5 linked regions of the Oryzias latipes genome follow. The protein of the gene in region 5 interacts with the protein of the main gene of each other region in a pairwise test. Links are inferred from orthologs where the notes say so. Each region holds a gene or a part of one and is shown on either strand. Other genes may lie near its edges. The genes, in order: mid2, rcbtb2, appl1, agtrap and fars2.

Evidence for each region.
Region 1: the proteins of fars2 (region 5) and mid2 interact in binary tests that used the Homo sapiens proteins (3 or more experiments, as listed by UniProt). The two-hybrid records come from large-scale screens. The link is inferred for Oryzias latipes from reciprocal best matches to the Homo sapiens genes FARS2 and MID2.
Region 2: the proteins of fars2 (region 5) and rcbtb2 interact in binary tests that used the Homo sapiens proteins (3 or more experiments, as listed by UniProt). The two-hybrid records come from large-scale screens. The link is inferred for Oryzias latipes from reciprocal best matches to the Homo sapiens genes FARS2 and RCBTB2.
Region 3: the proteins of fars2 (region 5) and appl1 interact in binary tests that used the Homo sapiens proteins (3 or more experiments, as listed by UniProt). The two-hybrid records come from large-scale screens. The link is inferred for Oryzias latipes from reciprocal best matches to the Homo sapiens genes FARS2 and APPL1.
Region 4: the proteins of fars2 (region 5) and agtrap interact in binary tests that used the Homo sapiens proteins (3 or more experiments, as listed by UniProt). The two-hybrid records come from large-scale screens. The link is inferred for Oryzias latipes from reciprocal best matches to the Homo sapiens genes FARS2 and AGTRAP.

Annotation. Positions count from the first base shown.
Region 1 is NC_019868.2:12,829,898-12,834,174, reverse strand, and holds the start of mid2 (probable E3 ubiquitin-protein ligase MID2), read left to right. Parts: upstream 1-1,363; 5' UTR 1,364-1,737; intron 1,738-4,277. UniProt on the Homo sapiens protein: E3 ubiquitin ligase that plays a role in microtubule stabilization. Mediates the 'Lys-48'-linked polyubiquitination of LRRK2 to drive its localization to microtubules and its proteasomal degradation in neurons.
Region 2 is NC_019871.2:7,144,575-7,148,947, forward strand, and holds the start of rcbtb2 (RCC1 and BTB domain-containing protein 2), read left to right. Parts: upstream 1-1,375; 5' UTR 1,376-1,715; intron 1,716-3,313; 5' UTR 3,314-3,322; coding exon 3,323-3,448; intron 3,449-4,373.
Region 3 is NC_019863.2:32,577,411-32,581,108, forward strand, and holds part of appl1 (DCC-interacting protein 13-alpha), read right to left. Parts: intron 3,453-3,698; coding exon 3,394-3,452; intron 2,210-3,393; coding exon 2,063-2,209; intron 1,647-2,062; coding exon 1,564-1,646; intron 1,487-1,563; coding exon 1,325-1,486; intron 801-1,324; coding exon 612-800; intron 536-611; coding exon 493-535; intron 414-492; coding exon 357-413; intron 215-356; coding exon 123-214; intron 1-122. UniProt on the Homo sapiens protein: Multifunctional adapter protein that binds to various membrane receptors, nuclear factors and signaling proteins to regulate many processes, such as cell proliferation, immune response, endosomal trafficking and cell metabolism.
Region 4 is NC_019863.2:32,256,366-32,259,622, forward strand, and holds the end of agtrap (type-1 angiotensin II receptor-associated protein), read right to left. Parts: intron 2,361-3,257; exon of another isoform or gene 2,218-2,360; intron 1,056-2,217; coding exon 928-1,055; 3' UTR 575-927; downstream 1-574. UniProt on the Homo sapiens protein: Appears to be a negative regulator of type-1 angiotensin II receptor-mediated signaling by regulating receptor internalization as well as mechanism of receptor desensitization such as phosphorylation.
Region 5 is NC_019878.2:3,840,839-3,844,941, reverse strand, and holds the start of fars2 (phenylalanine--tRNA ligase, mitochondrial), read right to left. Parts: upstream 2,801-4,103; 5' UTR 2,713-2,800; intron 1-2,712. Other genes in the region: lyrm4 (LYR motif-containing protein 4), read left to right, coding at 2,978-3,069. UniProt on the Homo sapiens protein: Is responsible for the charging of tRNA(Phe) with phenylalanine in mitochondrial translation.

The sequences.
Region 1 (4,277 bases), on a different chromosome or scaffold from region 5:
CATTTTTCCAGAGAAGGATTAGCCAGTTTAACATTTGTTTTTTTTCACATACCATTCATCACAAGCAAAATGAACAACATATTAATATTTAGAAATTATAAAAATACAGTTTGAATTAATATGTAAACCAACCTGTGTGTTAGACTATAAAACAAAGCATTAATGTGTCTAGATGGAAGGTAGCCGGTGTTAGAGGATGCAGACAGGGTTAGATGGAGGAAGCTTATTCGCTGTGGCGACCCCTGAAGGGAAGGAAAAGAAGAAGAATTTGGATGGGATTTTAAAAAAACAAATTGTCCACCCAAAGCTCTTGTGGTCTAGAGAAATATTTCATGAGGATGTTTTTCATATTCTGACACAGCTTTGATGTTAGTCACACTGCAGGATGGTTTACTGCTCTATAAGAGCAGCTCCACATAAATAGATGCAGTATTACAAAATATTTATTTGTGAGTTTGTGGTTTTGCACAATTTGCACACTTTTATTCAACCTTAAATAAGGGATTGAAAAACTCAATGCATGTTTTGTGTCACAAAAGCTGAGGAGTCCCTGTAAAGCTTCTAATGTTGAGCAAGTCATACTGACAGGCTCCAAATGCTCTGCCCTGGAGTATTTTATAGCTTCATTTTGTGTGTTTATATGTTTACATAAAAAGTTTGCAGGTTACGGAAAAAAATATAAAACAATGGACAATACAGGCTTGTGCTGTTTGCAGCCCTTCAGGCTAATTGCAGTTCTGAAATGCAGTATAACTGTTTTACAGAGAAGGCCTGTGAGACAAAGAAAACTGTATTTTGGCTTGCTTGTGGGGATAAAGTTGCAAGGTTGGCAAGTCTCCCCTGCTAATCCTGTGGCCTCCAGCATGTTGCAAAGATAGTCTGTCCCAAATACATGCAGTAGGTCAGTTTAACATACATTTCTGCTCAGATATTTTGCGGTCTCTGACAATAAATCTGGAGGGAAAATTTGATGTTTCTTTCTTTTTTTTTAAATTATTGCATAAGCAAAAGGTAAATTTTTACCTTTTTAAAAAAGTATTGGAAAATAAAATATTTTGTGAAATTGCTCTTGTAGTATAATTGGTCTCCAGTTGGGAGTTATTTTTACTAAGTGGGCATTGTCTGTGTCATGGCAAGATTGTAATTCATTTTTAATAACGACCATGTGTTTTTTTTTTTAATCCACAATTTGAATAAAATAAATAAATGGGTTAAAAATAAAAGGACATATTTTTAGTATCTATAGTTCTTTGGAAATCTATAAAGACTGCACTGTTGAAAGTGAACAGAAATGACAGCGACGCCGTGAGGCCACGCGGGAGGAGAGCGCGGGTGGAGCAAAAGAGACGTTGTGCGCACAGCTCGGGGTTTTCACAGTGGAGCAGTGGAGTAACCGATCCCAGATGCTGCCGTGAGGGATCGAGAGCTATTCCCGTATCCCTGTGGGTTGCCCACGTGACTCCTCGGGGATTGTTTGGTGTGGGGACCACGTCAGGCGGCAGGGAGAGCGCGCAACGTTGCGCGCAACTGAGTTGGAAAGCAGCACCCAGAAGAGGAAGACGCGCTCTCGCTCCTCCGGCGGCTCGTCATCCAGATGTGTTTTGGGGCGTTGACTCTCGTCTCTCACCCACTCTGATGCTCAGTCGCACCTTTGTCCAAACTTTCCGTCCAGGATCTGTGATCTTCTCCAACTGTTCTTCCACGAGGGTCCATCCAGAGCTGTCACGGGGGGCGGAGGTAAGCTGCGCGTCTTTGTTGTGTTTATTTTTGGTGGAGTAGCCTCAGGACAACGTGCGCTGAAGGATAAGCGCTGACTGAAGCATCCGTCAATGCGCGAAGGGCGCGTTCTGTTCTAATGACCCACATCCATGGAGGAGGGGGGGGGGGGGCAGAATGAAAAACAAGCAGAGCATGACTGACCATCTCATTCTGTTTTAAATGAGGTGTGCCACTTTTACACCACAAGCATTTTTTTTTTGGAGAGTCAGGAAACTGTTTCTACAAGATTTTGTGGGCATTATTTTGAGTTTCTTTTATGCACATTTCATGCACACCACACGTATCCTCTGTGGTATTGCATAGCATTTCAGGAACCAAGGCAGCCACCATAACTGACACCTGATCCGGGAGCCTGATGTCAGTGAGACGCTTTGTTTGAAGAACACTCAAAAAAGCTGGGAATAGCTCCTGGAGTGTGACATGAATACATTTCACAATAGATTACAACTCAGTTAAAAACTGAAATTAATTACCATAATTTTTAGAGTCACATTTTTTGTTATTGACACAATTTTTGTTATGGTTTGGCAAAGGGTGCTACTTATATCAACCTTTTCCTCTTTATTAGGCATTTTTTGGCTGCTGTGACTTAAACTGTGAAAAATGTAGTAAAGTACGTTTTTTGTTTTGTTTTCTCATTCCTAGTGACATTAGGGAGAAAGTGGCACAGCGGCAGAGTGTAAAATGTCAATGGGCAGCAACTGATCAATAATGAATGAGTCAAAACAATGCAGGGCAGGGAAAGAGGGGTCAACTGTCACGAAGTGCTGCTTGTCCCTTTTTTCACCAAGGCTACCCATTGATTCAATAGAAACCAATACATTAGTGACACAATAAAACCAAGTGCTGTGTCTGTTGCTGGGGAATTCAGCGGCACATTTGATGAAGTGGTGTTTCACAGTCTTTTAAAGTGATTTATGGTCCCCTGCACTCTTTTCTTGCTCTGTGGTTAATGCACGATCAAAGTGGCTAATGAGGCAGGTCTCAGTGGATGGGGGCTCGACACCCAAATGCAGTCGAGCTAGTCGTGAGAGTATAGCTGACACCCTCATTCATCATGGTTCTACAGGCCTGCTCTTTCCAATTTATCTGCTTTTTTTTCCTTCCCCCTTTACGCTCTTAGATGGTAATTATTATGATGTTTTAATGATGACAACAGTAGTCACTTTTTTGTGACAGGGACAGGGGTGTCTGTCAGTTGACACGCAACTAGAATTTTGCAGCTGCAGAGGATTCCATGAATAGAACTGAGAGGTACATGTTAGACTGTGTGTCTTAGCTGGCATTGCTCACACAGAACCAAAAAAGAAAAAAAGAAAAAATTTAATTCTTAAGGAAAAAACAAGTCTTCAAAAAGTACTGTTTTTTTTCTGACTATAAGACGCTCCAGGGTACATGCCACAGCAGCCAAAAAGTGCCTAGAAAAAAAGAAACGATCATATATAAGTCACACTTTTGAGAGAATTTAATTAAACAAAATACAGAAAAGGGATCTTAATCTTGAAAGGCAAATCCTATTTGCAGCAAAATTTCACTGTACTTGTACAATGACAATAAAGCTATAACTTTGATGACTTCTTTTCAATTTTTATAATGGAATGGATAACAGTAATAGTCAAAATATCTGTACACTTCACTACCATAATACATTGATTCCTATTTAGCTTCATGAAACATAGGAGTAGTTTAGAATAGCCCAACATATGAACAATTATTCAGATAACCATATCATAAAGAACATGCTAACAAGTCATTTAAACTCTTTATATTACTTCAAATGACTAAATCCGTTCAATTCTTCATCCTCTGTTTCACTTTGGAACAATTCTGCTTAGCCCGGCGTAAGACTGAATGACTCTTCTTCCTCTCTGATGTTGTCAGTAGCAAATACTGATACACACACCTACAGTGCCTTCTAGCTGTTGTGCATTTTTTCTTTTTTTTAAAAACACATATAAGTCACAACTGAGTATACTTTGCACCCCCGCCCAAATACATGCAAAAAAAATGCGATTTATACTCCAAAAATAGGGTATATGTATTATTTATTTTTTAAGATTAAAAAGAAAGAAAAAATTAACTTGTATAGTTGCTAAACTAACTCTTATCACCTTAAATGCCCAATATGATCTTCAGTGGCTATCATTTTGCTATTAATTTTTAATGTTTCAAGCTTTAAATAATGTAAAATGTTCTGGGTAATAATAAAAGCTGTGTTTAGCTGAAAGAGAGCTCAGTCTGTTGTTGATACACAAGAGTGTCATCAGCATAGAAATAGAAATGTTATTTGACTTTTAGTCCTTTTTTTTAATTATAATTTGTGTTTTTAAAACTCACACATAAGAACCTGGATCAATTTTTTCATCAAGTAACTGAAAGTTTCAAATATGCTTCAAAGAAATTCTAAAAAAGTTTTTAGTAAGTTTGAGTCATGGCATCTCAACGTAAAATCTTCTTCCTTTCACCACTCATGCTAGTGGCTTGACTGGTCTGACTAC
Region 2 (4,373 bases), on a different chromosome or scaffold from region 5:
CACAAAAACCCTAATAGTTATTTCAAATATTAAATTGAAACACTTTAAACTTAACCTTAGAAATGTAACATTACTTTTCTAAGTAAGTCAAGACTGTTTTCCTTTACAGAAAATATTCATGGAAACTGTGCCACATCATGGGTCTTGTAAAGACAGACATTTCTCAGAATTCACTGTCCAGGGCTCCACCTAATGGAACTTATTCATGACTGCGTTTTAGGGGAAACCAACAAACAAATAAACTACCTTTAAAACAGTAGCCTATAGATAAAATTCCACAATATAACAAGTGTCAGCCTATTGGATATCAAGAATAAGATAAATATTCTCTTTTACTTATATTTAAATTGATATTTTTTTTAAATAAGGCCAAAAATATAAAAATAATCAGGTTGTTTTTGCACTCATTTGTCTGATTGACTCTTGTACACCACAGGACGCATCATTATTGAGATAAAAATGAAAACAAATGAATGTTTTACTGCAGGTCTGACACTACAAATCAAAATAGGGATTTAAAACTTAAAAATGAAGAGAGTTAAGTTGGTCTGAAAATAATCCCAATTTAATAACCTTTGTACAGTCTGGAACAGGCACAGTGGAAGGCTCTGGCTCAAATCCTGGCTGGGACCTTTCTGTGTGAAGTTTGAGTGTTCTCCCCGTGCATGCAGGGGTTCTCTCTGGGCACTTCCTCAAAGTGTCCCTTAGTGTGCATGTATGAGTGTGTGTTGGAGTGATTGTGGCCCTGTGACAGACAAGCGACCTGTCTGGGGCGTACCCCACCTTCGCCCTGGGACAGACTGCGGCGACCCCATGACCCCGAAAGCAATAGAGTGGGTTGAGAAAATGAAAACTGGAATAAACTGAATGATTGTGTTAGTACAAATTAGATATTCCCACACACTTTTGATCACATCTATAAAAAACTAAATGTAAAGTATTGATTACATTTTGATGACTTGTACAGCAAATGGTCAGCTTTAATGAGGGTAGTTCTGCTGAACTTTACACCCAAGTTTTATTCCCCACTGTCACCCCTTTACGTAGCCCTGGACATTACGTTAAAAATAAGTAAATAAATAGTTTCCTCAAATTAGCAATTTGTGCACACAGTTTGCCAATTTGTAGCCACAAATTAAAATTTTAGTAGCATTTGTGTGCATTGCTTTTTCACAGATATTCCCCCTTTTGAGATAATCTGTTAGGCAATTACATAAAATGGTATTAAAACACAGGTATATTATTTTTGGCCTTTTTGAAATAGTCTGGACCAAACTGAGCAACTGCAGACAATTAATTTGTCTTTTTTATATTGTTTCTGAAGACAAACCATTTTTATGAATAAAATGAAGATCGTAATTTTTTAAGCACAAACTATTACTGGATTTCGTTAAATATGTCCGACTCGTTATTTCAAAACTTCAAATGTGCTTGCAGTTCACCACATTAGCCCTGAATTTCTAAAAATTCCTACTTTCGTAAACGCACCATCCGGCAATGGGAAGTGAACTGACGTTTGTGTGTGTTTTTTTTTCCCAAGCCGTGATGTAGCCTTCAAAGCTAGCTCCTGCAAGGTACAAGCAAAGCTACCCGACCAATGTCCCGCTGCAGATGTCCTTTTTGTAAAAAAAAAAAAAAAAAATGTTTTATTGATTACTATTAAATAGTAAAAAGACCATTACAGACGGAGCTCCAGCTTGGACAACAACAACAAGGTAACGTCAACAGTTTGAGCTATTAGCTGTCCTGTCTTACGCTAATCACCTGTACATTGTTTTTCGTTTGTTTTAAGTAGACTTCAGATTTTTTAATACATATTTGTTTAGGTTGTAGGCGGTGTGAGTTAGATTTATAAAACTAAAAATAACTGAATTGTTTGGACTGGAAGCGATAGTTTAGGAAGGAGTTCATCATGCTAACTAACTACTGCAACTTCCTATCATCGTCGCCCAGCCAGGTGACAGCAGGAGTTAGTTTCATTTACAACATTAGATTTTGCATACCTCTGGAGTTTAATAAAACATAGGCAAACGCTAGTTCGACCTATATTTGCATGTCTCTTATATCCAGTCTAAGGTAGTAGAAAACGGTGCAGAATTTATATTATTATTTCAATCTGAAGTGGGTGAGGTTAAAGCAAGGGGGCATACAGTGTTTTTTTTGTTTGTTTTTTACTATAATGTATTAAAAGTTGCATGAAAACACACTAAATTGCAGACTGAATAGATTGGTACGTGTTGATTTTTTTATTCTTTAATGTGAGCTTGTAGATTTTATTATATATACACATAAGCTTGGATTTGGTCAAAGTTTTATTACAAAAACAAAAATTGAGTTAAAAAAAACAATACATGTGACTTTTTCTTAAATCAAAAGGAACATTTAAAAGTTTTTCTTTCAGATTTTAGTGTAAGAACTTTAAAATTCAGCATAATGTAATGAAAGTTTGTCATTTGTTTCTGTTTGGTCACAATTATGTGAAAAATGTTGCCAAACAGCCCAAAAAAAAAGTTTTAAAAGGGAAACGTGAACAATTCAGCAATAGTTCTTGGGGTTTTGTGGCATTTTGAATCAAATTATACACTTGTGAGCTTAAATTTAAATATTTTAGTATTTTGGTTGTGAGACCTTGCCTTTAAAAGTAAGTATTAAAATGAGATATGCTAATGTGTCGAGCTGTTTTTTTGTTTAATCAACAAAATAAATGTTATGAATTTTAAAAACAAAAATACCAGGGACTTGTTTGTGTGCATAGAACAGTTTTCTTGTTTTGTTTTTTTTAACCAAATTAGAGCAGAAATGAAGTGTAAACATTGTGAAATCAAAATATTCTAATAAAATAGAAATTCCTCAAAGCTTCTTAGATGTAAAATGTTAAAAAATATTGCTGGACGTGCACTCCAACACATTTGAATCCGCTTTTTGGTTCTGATTGATCAAAAACGGTCTGTTTTTGTCTGCTACAGACATAACACAATGGATAGTTTGGGACTGACTGCAACAAAATAAACAAAATATTGACATATTACATTCGTTTTTCAGATCTAAGTGAACCTCTTACGTTTTTATATCATGATGGAAGTTTGTTAAGAGTCAAAAAATGAAAAGTTGTGACTTTTCTGTTATTGGCCTTCCCTGATCCAAGTTTTGTGTCAAATTTTCAAGTTAATACCTAATATGTGGATTTATGTGATAGAAATAAACCACAATACACATTTGGAAGCTCCGCACACTGTTGTCATGTGCTATTCTTCAACACTTTCCCCAGCTTACTGTGGTTTTGGTTTAATTGTGTTTTCTTCTCTCTTCTTAGCTGAGTATTATGCTGGACGTGGGGAAGTGGCCTGTGTTTGCACTCCTTCCTCCAGAGGAGCTACGGCTTATCCGGCAAGCTTGTGTCTTTGGCAGTGCTGCTAACGAAGCTCTTTATGTCACCGTTAACGATGAGGTAACCTTTGGGCTTTAAGCAGGACAGCCTTAATCAGCTGGTTTGAATGGAGGTGTGCGACCAGCCTTCAAAGTGTTGATACTCTTTTATTTGATCAGTTCGTGTTGAGACTTTAATAAAACGAATGCTTCAGGCTTCCCAGTCTCAGGTGATATAATGAGAGTTCACAGCACAGAGATAAGCAGATAGAATGAGGCTATCTTTAGCCATATCGGCCTAATACCCGAGCAACTTCTATTTTTATTCAGTGCAAAGGGGCCGAACTACTTGATGTGTTCATGCCATCTTAGTTATCCATCTGATTGTGCTTTTGTGCAATTGTGTGGGGAATATGAAAGCCATTTTTAGCAAATCTTTAAGCAACTGCAACATTTATTTGTTATATTTCAGTAGAATGTTGTTTTGGGAAGATTTCTTTTTACCATTTAATACATTGTTCCTATCCAGAATGTCATAAATGTGTTGAAATAAGAGATTATAAATAAAGTCATTAAAGAAATTTGACGAAAGGCTTGAATTTTAAGGGGGAAAAAAGTCTAAGTTGATCAACACTTTGAGGATAAAAAGGTCAAATTGAAGTGTTTTTTAAAGATCCATCAAATGAAAGTTATGTTTTTGGTCGTTGGTTTCCGATGATGGTAGTGATAAAAAAAAAATTGAGCTTAAAAATCCAATTCAGAGTATTTCTTGATTCAAATTGTCGTGAATCAGGAGCAGACAAAAGAGCCTATTTGTGATGTAGAAAATACCCAAGGTCCTCTGCTCTGAGCTCTCAGCAATGGGGAGAGGAAGTGGGGCGGGGTTGCTTTGCGCCAACAGTTCCCTCCCACAAATCAGAGGGGAATTTGTAATGAACTACTGCACAAAATATTTCCTATAAAAATAACACAAATGTTTACATTTTTGGCTATAAAAGGCATAATCA
Region 3 (3,698 bases), on a different chromosome or scaffold from region 5:
AGGTGAGTGGGTCAGGCCGGGTCGCCGCCGATGGGTTTTTTCTACAGCTCTGAAGCTTTCACAACGTTGAAAGAACTTCAACGGAGGCCCGTTTTGCCCCTAAACAAACCCTCCCGTCTCACCTGCTGGGCCGCATGCTCTCGTGTCTCTGCTGGAAAGACGGGGACGGCGTCACCGCCTCCAGGGCCGTTTGGTTCACTCTGGCCGCCACCTCCTGCCAGAAAAACAGTTTTTTCTACAATTGCTGAGCAGAGTCAGCTCTGCCCATCAGAGCTTCAGCCGGAGGACCCGCTGCTGTTCAGAACACAGTTCAGGCTTCACAGAGGCAACCTGACGGCAAACAGCTGAACTCTGACCTCTGCGTTTTCGCTGAGGTAGATCCTCTTGGAGATGTTGTTGATGGTGGCGACCCACTGTTGGAGGAAGCAGCAGAGACGGGGCGTGAGGAAGCATCCAGAAAACCACAGAGCAGAGGAGGGAGCGGCTTCTTACCTCCTCGCAGTCCCTCCTGCTCTCCGCCTGCAGCGTCACCACTCTGCAGGGACACAGACGGAAACGCTCAAACCTGCAGCAGAACGGCCCGCAAAGCTTTTCAAAAGTCGTCCGCTCACTTTTTGCCGTCAAACGACGTGACTTGGAAGCAGAAGCGGCGGTCGTCGCTGTCGACGGCCATGACGGAGCAGTTGTCCAGATCGGTGACCAACCCGCCCGCCACCTCAGCCCGGCCCTGCTGCATGAGGTTACCGCCCTGCGTGAAGAAGTACTGACGCTCCCAGGACGACGACACCAGGCCCGTTTTACTGAAGACAGAACCAGCGTTCTCTCACTAACCAAGATTCCAGCTGACACACGCAGCTGCAGCTCTGGCAGGAGCTTTCCCCTCCGTGCTGCAGGTATCTGATGCCTGAGGTCACCACAGGTACGCTCTGCTGAATTTGGGCTTTTCTCCAAAGTCCCCCAATGTCTTGTTAAATTCATAATGGTTCATAATCTCAGGTTAATTGATAACTAAATTGAAATTCCTAGCTCTGAACTGATAAACCAATCCACGACGCTCTTTTTGTGTAGAATCTCGTTCATGTAAAACAGGTTTTCCAATCAAACCTAAGGCTTAAAGCACGGATGTAACAGTTATCCTGTTTTTGTTATTTTTGGATTTATAATTGAGGTTTTGGGTCGACGGCTGACACCAGAACCGAAACAAAGATTGTAAAAAAGACTGGAAGGGAAACAGTTTAAACACAGAAGGAAAGAACACGAGCGAGAACCAATCCAAAGAGGTTCCTGCTCTTCTAAAAGAAAGCCGAGCTGAACGGCGTCTTACTTGCGGATGTACAGGTAGCCCTGCTTCCTGGTCAGGTTTCGGCAAACGGGTGAGTGGGCGGGGTCTGGGTCACAGGGCGCATACAGGGGGTCACATGATCGCTCCATCTGCTGAATGGTCTGCTGCATCTGCCCCACCTCCTCCTCCATTTCCCGCCGCACGCTGCCCATGAAAGCACAAACTGCCCGTCACCTTGGTCTCAGGGAGGAGGAGTGTTCCGAGAGGAAGATCGCACTTACTTCTGGACGCTGGTTCCTATGGTTCCCAGAAAGTCCTCCCACTGCTGGCTGAGGTTTTCGGAGCCCAGCTTGAAAAAACTGATCTGAAAAGGACAGCAGATCCGGGATGAGGAGCAGGACGGACCACAGCTGGATGCAGGAGGAGGCAGGCTCCCTCCAAACAGGGAGACACCAATGCAACAGCAGAATGTTTCAGAACATCTCTACTCATGTATTTGTTACTTTTTTCACCTTTAGAACTCATTCATAGCATTTTCTTCAAACATTGAATTCCTAAGAACAAACTAAAACTTCATTAGAAGGCTGATCCAGATGTTTTATCCACTTTCTATCAGGTTTTGCATCAAAAAGCTTCATCAAATAGTCCTTCTTAATTTCTTTCACACTCAACCATTCTTCAGCGGGCGGCAGTCACTTTAGACGCTCCACCACAGACGAATGCGTGGCGTCAGAGCGAGGTCATCAGATGAACCCCGCCCCCCCGAGCGAGCACCTCTACCTGAGCTTGCATGTAGCCGAGGAGCGGCTCCAGCAGAGCCGTCTTCTTCTTGTACTGCAGCGTGTTCAGGGAGCAGAAGTAGTGCATCATGGTCTGGTGCTGCTTCTTCCGCGACGTGTAGACGTCCTCCACCGCCTCCGCCCGCACCTGTAGCAGACGGACGGTGCACGACCGCACCAGCAGGTGTTACCGCTTGGTCCGGTTCTGCTCTGACGCGGTCCGATGCCGTTCCGGCTCCACAGACATTTAGCTAAAGCAGTCGTGCCTCAGTGAAAGTGGACTTTAATGGAGAAAGGAAACCATCCACCATAAATGAACGTCAGCTGTTAGGGAGAAACGCCGTCACGTCCACAGAGGACTCGGACTGAAGCTAAAGAGCAGAGGTGGCATCAAGTCATTGATCTGAAAGTCACATGCAAGTAACAAGACTTTGTCCTCAAGTCCAGAGTCGAGTCTCAAGTCCAAGTCCTACTGTTGAATGTTTCAAGTCCTTTTAACAACAGAGTAATAGAAACTTTATCAACAATATTCCTCTTTAGCTCATGTAATCCCACTTCAAAAGTCCCAAACCATTTCTTCAATAAAACCCGGATTACCATGTTTGCACTTTAGTCTCAACAGCGAGTTTTCCGTCTCATTGATTTAACTGCAGCTAGCAGCTACATAGCCCTTAAGCTAGCGTTAGCTTCCATTCAGGATTTACTGATCTTTGAGCAAACCTGGAGTGATGGACGACGTTGACCATCGTTGAGCCTCAGTCTGTTATCTTCTCATCATCTTTATTCCTAAACGTAATAACCGCAGGAATCCTTTTGGCGAACAGAAACCGGCGCCCTGTTTGACACTTCGTCTTCGTTGGTCGTCCTGCAGTTTGATGGGTTGGATGGCGTTGGATCAAAATAATGTGGACCTAATTGGTTGGATGGACAGCACACACAGATGCACCCAAACACAAAGACAGCGGTCCGTGGGGCCAAACTTTTTAAGCTTCGACTGGTGGGGAAAGTAACAAGTCTTTTCCAGTCAGAAGGTTCAAGTCCAAGTGAAGTCACGAGTTACTGCTGTTAAAATCCAAGTCCAGTTGCAAGTCTTTCTCTATTTGGTCAAGTCTAAAGTCATCATTTGTGACTGGAGTCCACACCTCTGACAAAAATATCTGTGAGTCGAAATCATCCAAACTCACCAAAAACCCCTAAACCGTTGAGATGCTCTTTTGTATCTTTTAGTCAAATGAGAAACTTCCTGTTTTCATGAAAGCTTTTCAAGCCCCAGGTTCTCATCATCGACCCAAAGGTTGATTTGAGGAGCGTTTCAGCGTCAGAGCTGGTTACCTTGTCGTTGTCTCTCCTCTTGGACAGACGGCTGTACCGGTTGATGGCGGTGTCGTGATCTGCAGAAGGAAACAAAAAACACTTATATCCAAAAAACTAAAACAAAGTGGAATTTATGCTTCACAGATAAAAAGCCACAAACTTCATTTTCCTAATCTAAACACAAAATATGAAGAGTTTCTCTTATTGTTACAATAATTATGAAAGCAAGACACCATTCAGCTGCTATGAATGCTTTACTGTATAAACAGCAGATGTTTAATCATGTCTTAAATACATTTAATGACTTCAGGGTAGAAAGGAAA
Region 4 (3,257 bases), on a different chromosome or scaffold from region 5:
AACTGAATTCTACATCTGCCTTAAAAAAAAACTCTAAAAAGGTGAAGATAATTTACACTCAAATTTGGTTTAAAAAAGGCTAAAATATGATTTTTTTTAAAATGTCAAAAATGTTTTAAACCAACAGAATAATGAGAGCTGCAAACATCCTAAAAACTGCTAAATTCAAACTAGATCAAATCCTAAATGATCTTCATAAAGGTTTAAAGGTTACATTATCAAAAACCGCCGTCATGTCGGAGTTTTGGAAAGAGAGAAATGTCAAAAATGTAGTAAATAAAGAATATCTAAGCCAAATCATTTACTCAAAATATAAACATTTGTTTTGAAAAATAATAAAAGAAAGAAAAACCAAAACGAAAAGCAGGAATCTCCAGGTTTCACAGAATAAAAGCCGTAAATGTTGTCAAACGGCTCCATTGAGAAAAACGGATGAGTTATTCGCTGAGACGCTAAGCACGCTGGGAAATGGAGTGTTTCTGTGTTGGGATGTGCAGAGCGGCAGATGTGTTTGTGCAGCATCAACATTACTGAAGTGTTTCCGTTCTGGTCCAAGGATTCAAACCCCAAACGCTGAGTTTTCGGTCAAACATTTATTTCAGTTTGTTAAAGCAAAGAGTTTCTGCAAAATAGTCATAAAATACTGCAAAAAGGTACGACTATAACTCACAGAACTGTCTGTAACCGTCTGTAAATGCCACGTAAAAAATAATCTACTTGACAGCTTGACTGGAATCGCGTTGGTAACAGCAGACGAGCAGCAGGAGGTTCAGATTTCCTCCTGAAAACACGACATTCACTGGAAGATGAAGAGTTCACCCCAAGTATTTATTCACCAGAAGGATTTGTGGGGTTTTGCACACATTCGTCGCCCGTCGCTGCATATAAAGTCAGAGAGAAGGCTGCGCGGTTGGCGTCCGGCGGCGCTCAGTACGTGCGGACTCCTGGTCGGGTGGTGTCCTGGGCCTGGTTGAAGGGGTTTGGTGGGCTGGACGACTCGTCCTGCTGGTCGATGGACTGATAGGCTTCTCTGTTCCGTGATACCGAGGGAAAACCTGCAGGGAAGCAGCAACAAGGCAGCGAAAAGGCGTTATTTGGAAATATTACCCTCATTCAAACAATCTGGTCTTTGGACTCCGGCTTTTTGCTGAAATCTAGAAACATTTTTGCTAGAGTTTCATCATTTTTAATTCCACTTCCTCCCACAGACTTCTCTTTCTTTATTCTAGTATCTTTCTACAATTTTTCATCTATTTTAACCATTCAACTATTCAAATGTTCAGCTATTTCATCTTTTTCCAGCTGTGATTTTTGCTCCTTCAAATCCTTGAACTTTTCCAGATATTCCAGGATTTCTGCCTCCATTGAAATAAAGGGGAATCCTTGGAGCAGAAGCTCGCTGGTTCGATACCCGGCTCTGGCATTTTTCACAAATATTTTTTTGTTATTGTGCTGTTTTCACTTTATTTATGATCAACTTTGATCATTTATTTATTTACTCTTTTTTTGTTTTTTGACAAATGTTATTCTTTAAGTTTCATTTTCATTCAGCAGTATAGCATCAACCCTGCTGTTTCTTCTGGAAATGCAGCTCCTTCTAATAAACTCTGTTTTTGTGGCGGACGTTCCAGAGCTGCATGAACACCTGAGACTCTGCTCAGAATATGAATGCTGCATGTTTGAAGGGTTTCTGAGTCATTTATGCGCATGCAACTGCTTCCCATTAACTTTCAATTATGAGCCAACCTTATTTGGATTTTAATTAGGCTCATTTCAGAGTCGTACATACAAGGAAACCCAAAAACACACAACACACGAACACAAATGAGGCGTCTGGAGACCATCTCTGAATAAAATATCAGTAATACTTGCAGACATAAACACCAACAGAGAGCCTAAAACGGTAATGAGGACAGGTGAGAAGGGCCTCACGGAAACGAAATGTTGGTTTTGCTTCTTTAAACCACGTCGTGCTCCCGAATGAGCCGACGCCGCATGACGGCAGGACGGCCGTCTCAGCTCAGCAGCTCATTTAGTGCTGCAGCCCCCCTGGTGCCAACATGCAGTCCCAACACAGACTCTCTACAGAGGAGAACCTCTGTTGGTGCAGCTCAGCCAGAACATTCACAGAAGGGATGGATCAGAACTTCAACACGACAGAAGGGAAAGAAAAGCATCTTTCTCCCGTTTGTCCTGCAGTCTGATCACAAAGCTTACTTCCGGGCTGAAGCAGGACCGAAGAGGACGACCCGGGGAGGGAACTGATAGAAAGGGGGAAGCCGGCGATCAATAACGGCGGCCAAAAAAGGCACTGTCGGCACTGTCCGTAGTGCAGCGACTGTCCACTGAGGTCTCTAAATCTGAGGGTTCGAGGGAAAGCGGTGGAGGAGAAAGAACAGAAACAAACCATCAAAACGTGCAGAAACACAGGAAACAGCATGACAGCCAAACAAAGACATGGAAAACAGACGACAAGGCAAACGCAGGAGCCGCAGGAAAGCTCACCTGACAGGCAGAAGACGGACTTTTCACCACATTCTGACCAAACTAAGCTGCTGCGTTTGCATTGCTGTTGGCGTCTACAAAGGTCTCAGGTAGGGGTGTGACGATAACCTCATCACCGCGGTGATGACCTCATCACAGCACCTTTTTTTAATTTGAAAGTTTTTATTATTTTTTTTCTGAAAGTTCTGCATATGATGATTGGAACTATAATTAAACACGTTCATCTTTGCTGATAATTTACTTTTTCTAGTCCTGTGTTCAGACTTCAAGGGTTTCTGGGGGGAACCTTTCATTTCTGTTTTCCTTCACTCCCTCTACGCTGCACGCGCTCACTCTACTCACACACACACACACACACACACACACACACACACACATGAGGTTTCAGCAGCACACACATCCTCATTCTACAACAGAAATTTCCTTCTCGCGAGGAAATACGACAAATTTACTGCGTTCTAATCATTAATTTCCATTGTATTCATTTCCATTACAAGCTGGGTGCGTTCTTGAGTGCGCGACATAGACGCCCGCCGGAGGATTTTGTGTTGGGGGGGGGGGGTTGTTACTGTTCTCCTTCACTCTGTAACACCAAACATGAACGTGCACCGTTAGATTTCCATGAATATCACTACATGTTTTGTTTGCGTAACGTTACGTGTCTGTATGAACAAAGGCGGAGCCTCCTGCCCGCGTTCTTCATGGATGTCAGGCTTCATGGCTACCAGAAAGGTGACAAAGTGTCTGCAGTC
Region 5 (4,103 bases):
ATCTGACCTTTTAGACATCCACTGCAGAGGAGCATACTGTCCAAACACACATGCACACAAATGCGCAGAAATACTTCTAAAAGACTCTGCAGAAGACCGAGCGCGGCCACAATGATGTCACAAAACGAAGAATTTATTTTAATGCTAATGCTTGAAAAGACAGAAACAACCATATTTGGACATGTGGGAGGAGCTATTTCCTCCCAACTTGATAAAACTAAAGGCAGAACTAATGAAATGAGTCAACAGGACCCCAATAGGAGTCTTTCCAGCCCTAAAGTCAAGTATCAAACACTAATCCAAAAAGAAAAACAGCATGAAATGTGGTTTACAATATTCTTTTATCCTATTTAAGTTTTCCTTAAGAAGTACACTACTCAATAAGTTAGGGATATTGGGGATAGGGCGGTAATTGTATTGGGGTGATTATAGACACAACTCATTTAGTGTTTTCCATATCATGGTCTCATGTGTACAGTATGTGTCACTTACTGGAGCGAAAGCCAAAAAAAGTATCTGAAAGAAAAGTATTTTCAATGAGGCATCAATGTCAACATTCTGTAGGTATAAAAAGCTGATTTAGTCAGTAAATGATTTCAGGTTCATCATTCAAACAGCTATAAACACGATGTCACTCAATGTCTGAGCAGCACTGCCTGTCCACAGCACCTTCAGGCTGGTAGGAGAAAGTCAGCTGTTGCAGGTGAACTTGGTGAATCTCAAAGTGTCTTCAGCAGATTTTCACTCTGAACTACTGTCAGAGTTTGTGACAGACAGGAGTGGAGCCCCGTCATTGACAGACCACAACCATGACCAGAACCTAAGGACTTCTGACTTCAGACATAGTTTTGTAAATACCACACAGCTGCAGGCCGTTTACCAGATGTGAGGGGTACCAGGGTTTCCAGACTAACCAACTCCACCACTTTTACTGGAATGATAGACGACTGTTGCAGGGGACTCCACTGACACCAAGACACCACCGTGAAGGTTTGCACAAAACCATGTGACCTGGACAATGACCTAGACTTCAGGGACATTACAGAAACATTATCATCCCCCAACTTTCTGTTCATGGATGAGAAGACTCCACCACATGGTGCTAGAATTGTCACAGCTGGACTTCAGTAAGCAGGAGTGTGTCGTATGGTATGGCCATCAATGACCCCTGACCTGAACCCCATAGAGGATGTCTGGAACCAGCTGAAACAGAGAATGGATGACAGTACCCCACCACTACATCAGTGTTTCCCAACCCTGGTCCATGAGTCACACTGTCCTGCATGTTTTCCATGTTGCTCTGCTTATGCACACCTGATTAAGCTCATCATCAGGCTCTGCAGAAGCCTGACAGTCATCAAAGGCAGGTGTGTTTGGGAAGGGAAGGCTGATCGGAAAATTCTAATGACCGAGCATTCCACTGGTATTTAAACGCAGCACTTACGGACGAATTTGTGAGACGTGAAAACAGTCTCACGGTAGATCCGTGCGTAACTTTGGCTTTGTGTGTGCGTAACAAGGGATTCGTGCGTGTTTTTTTAAAGATGTGTGTGTGTAAGTAGTTTCAAGCTGTTGTAATCTTATTTTGTGCATACGTAAATTGCATTTTGTATTTTTTTCATTTTATATTTTTTTAACTTATACACAAAACGTGTTATGTGAGTAACAAATCACGCACAAATCCAAATTTATGCACAAATCCTAATTTACGCACGCACAAAGCAAGAATATGCATACACAAATCCTAATTTACGCACAAATCAAGAATTACGCACGCACAAATCCGACTGAGTCTAATTTCTCTCCATAGTCACACCCCTAGTGGCAAATGGTGGAAATACCCACCATTTAATACTTTTTTATTGGCTTAATTTTGGGGTTATAAATATCAAACTAATGAAAATGATGTTTCATCTCATTCATTATTAGTAATATTAAAGGGGACTTAGTGTGGAGTTTGCATGTTCTCCCTGTGTGTGCGTGTGTGGGTTTTCTCCGGGGACTCCAGCTTCCTCCAACAGTCCAAAAACCCAAAAACATGCTTCATAGGTACATTAGCTTCTCTAAAATGTCTCTAGGTGTGAATGTGAGTGTGCATGGTGTGTGATTTGTGGCCCTGGCAACCTGTCCAGGGTGTCCCCTGCCTTCGCCCACGAGTGGCCGGGAAAGGCTCTGGCAGCCATGTGACCCCAAAAGGGGCAAAACGGGTTTAGAAGATGAATGAATAAAGGTAACTTTATCGTACTTCATTCAAATTCAAACCAAAAAGGAGAAACCGAATGTAAATGATAATATCCCTGACTTATTAGCTGTGTTGTATTTATAAAACTACCAAACATAAACAAATGACCAAAGATTGACAGTCCTGATCAAGAGGGTCATACAGGGAGGGTCCAGAGCAGGACTCTGTGCGGTCACACACTTCCTGTTAAAGAATCCCTGACCTAAAAAAAGACCCACGTTCGCGCGTGCACACCCACACATAAACACACACCTGACAACAGCTGAAGCTGCCTGTTGTCAAGTATGATCTGCTGCAGAACCTCACAAATACAAAAGGAGCTTTTTAAACCCGACAAGCAACACATTTTCACAATTAATGATTCTTATTCCTGCACTATAATATCGAATTTTGTACCGACACCTTAGAAAAGGTCTTCTTATTATATAAGTAATATATTTTAGAGGTTAAAATTAGCAATGCTAACTCACCTTCTGTCACACTTCAGCTTTCAACTCTTGTGAGGTATGCGGAAGCGCGCCTGCATGACTCTTGGATTATGAACATGTTTCAAAAATAAATATGCATATTTATGCTGTGTGTTATTTAATAAATGACGTTCTTTTATCAAACTTATTATAATGTAACATACGAAAATAATGACAAACAGCCTAGACTTTGGATTTCTAAACTGGCGCTAGTTGGTCGCTCTTAAGTAAGGGTCCTTCATCGCAGGGACCGAACAGCGTCGGTAGCATGAACATGGCAGCGTCTGCTCGAGCCCAGGTGCTGTCTTTGTACAGAATGATGCTGAAAGAGAGCAGCAGGTTTCCTTCCTACAACTACAGGTAAGAGGCGGACTGAAGCCGGGTTCAGCGGGGCTCATGGCCGCTGTGCTCCGGCTGTCAAAGGAGGAAAGTGCCTGCTAACGCCTGTGTTTTGATCATTGATGAGCTGCTGCAGAGTTTACGAAACTCTCCTGACTGCTGCTGCACCAGTTCATGTGTTACAAAACTAACCTTATTCATTATTACATTTCTTCCCTTTGGAATATTATACAGGGTTATTATAATGAAAAAGCTTATTTTAAGGTGTTCCCTCATGATCACTTGAAGGCACGTTGGTAATAATAGCAATGGAGTTTGGTAATGCCATGCTATAGCAGAATATGATAAAGTACAATCAATGCCATTCATAATTTCATAAGAACTTTGTTTTTATTGACAAATTGTTGACTGGTTTTGTTTTCTTGGGACTCTTATTTTGAAAGTTTGTTGATCATAACGACTTTGAAAAGCCTTAATCTCAATTTTAATCATGCAGAAGCCTTTTTATTTAAAGGTTTTGAGTTTATGGAAACAGACCTGAACTCTGTTTTGCACGTTTTACTGATAATCTGAAGCTACTTTATTTCATCTTTTGAGTGCATTCTCTCTCCTCGAACATCACTTCAAAATAAGTCAGACTATGATTGAATTCATTTTCAAAATACTTTTCAAGCTCACATGACGGAGCTGATAATCTCTGATCTCCTGCTGTCTCCTTTCATGGTGGCTATTTTGCTGTCATTCATCTTCTGCCCCCCCTTTGACTGTTGTTAAACATGTTCCTTAAGAGGAGCTCAGACCCCCACAGGTCATCCTCCTCGTGTTGGATGAGTGATTGACAGATGGAAAGTCTTCATGTGAAACTCATGATGTGGGATACGTACATAAAAGCTATTAGTCATCTATTCTGTCTGGGACTCTTATGGACTATATTTCTGTTTTATTATTTTGGAATCCCATATCTGTTGTTTGAAGGTGCTGTAGTCCTTCATGACCTCCTGTTTACACTTGTGATGGTAATTTGCCACTCGAGCTACGTTCACACCACCTCAGCA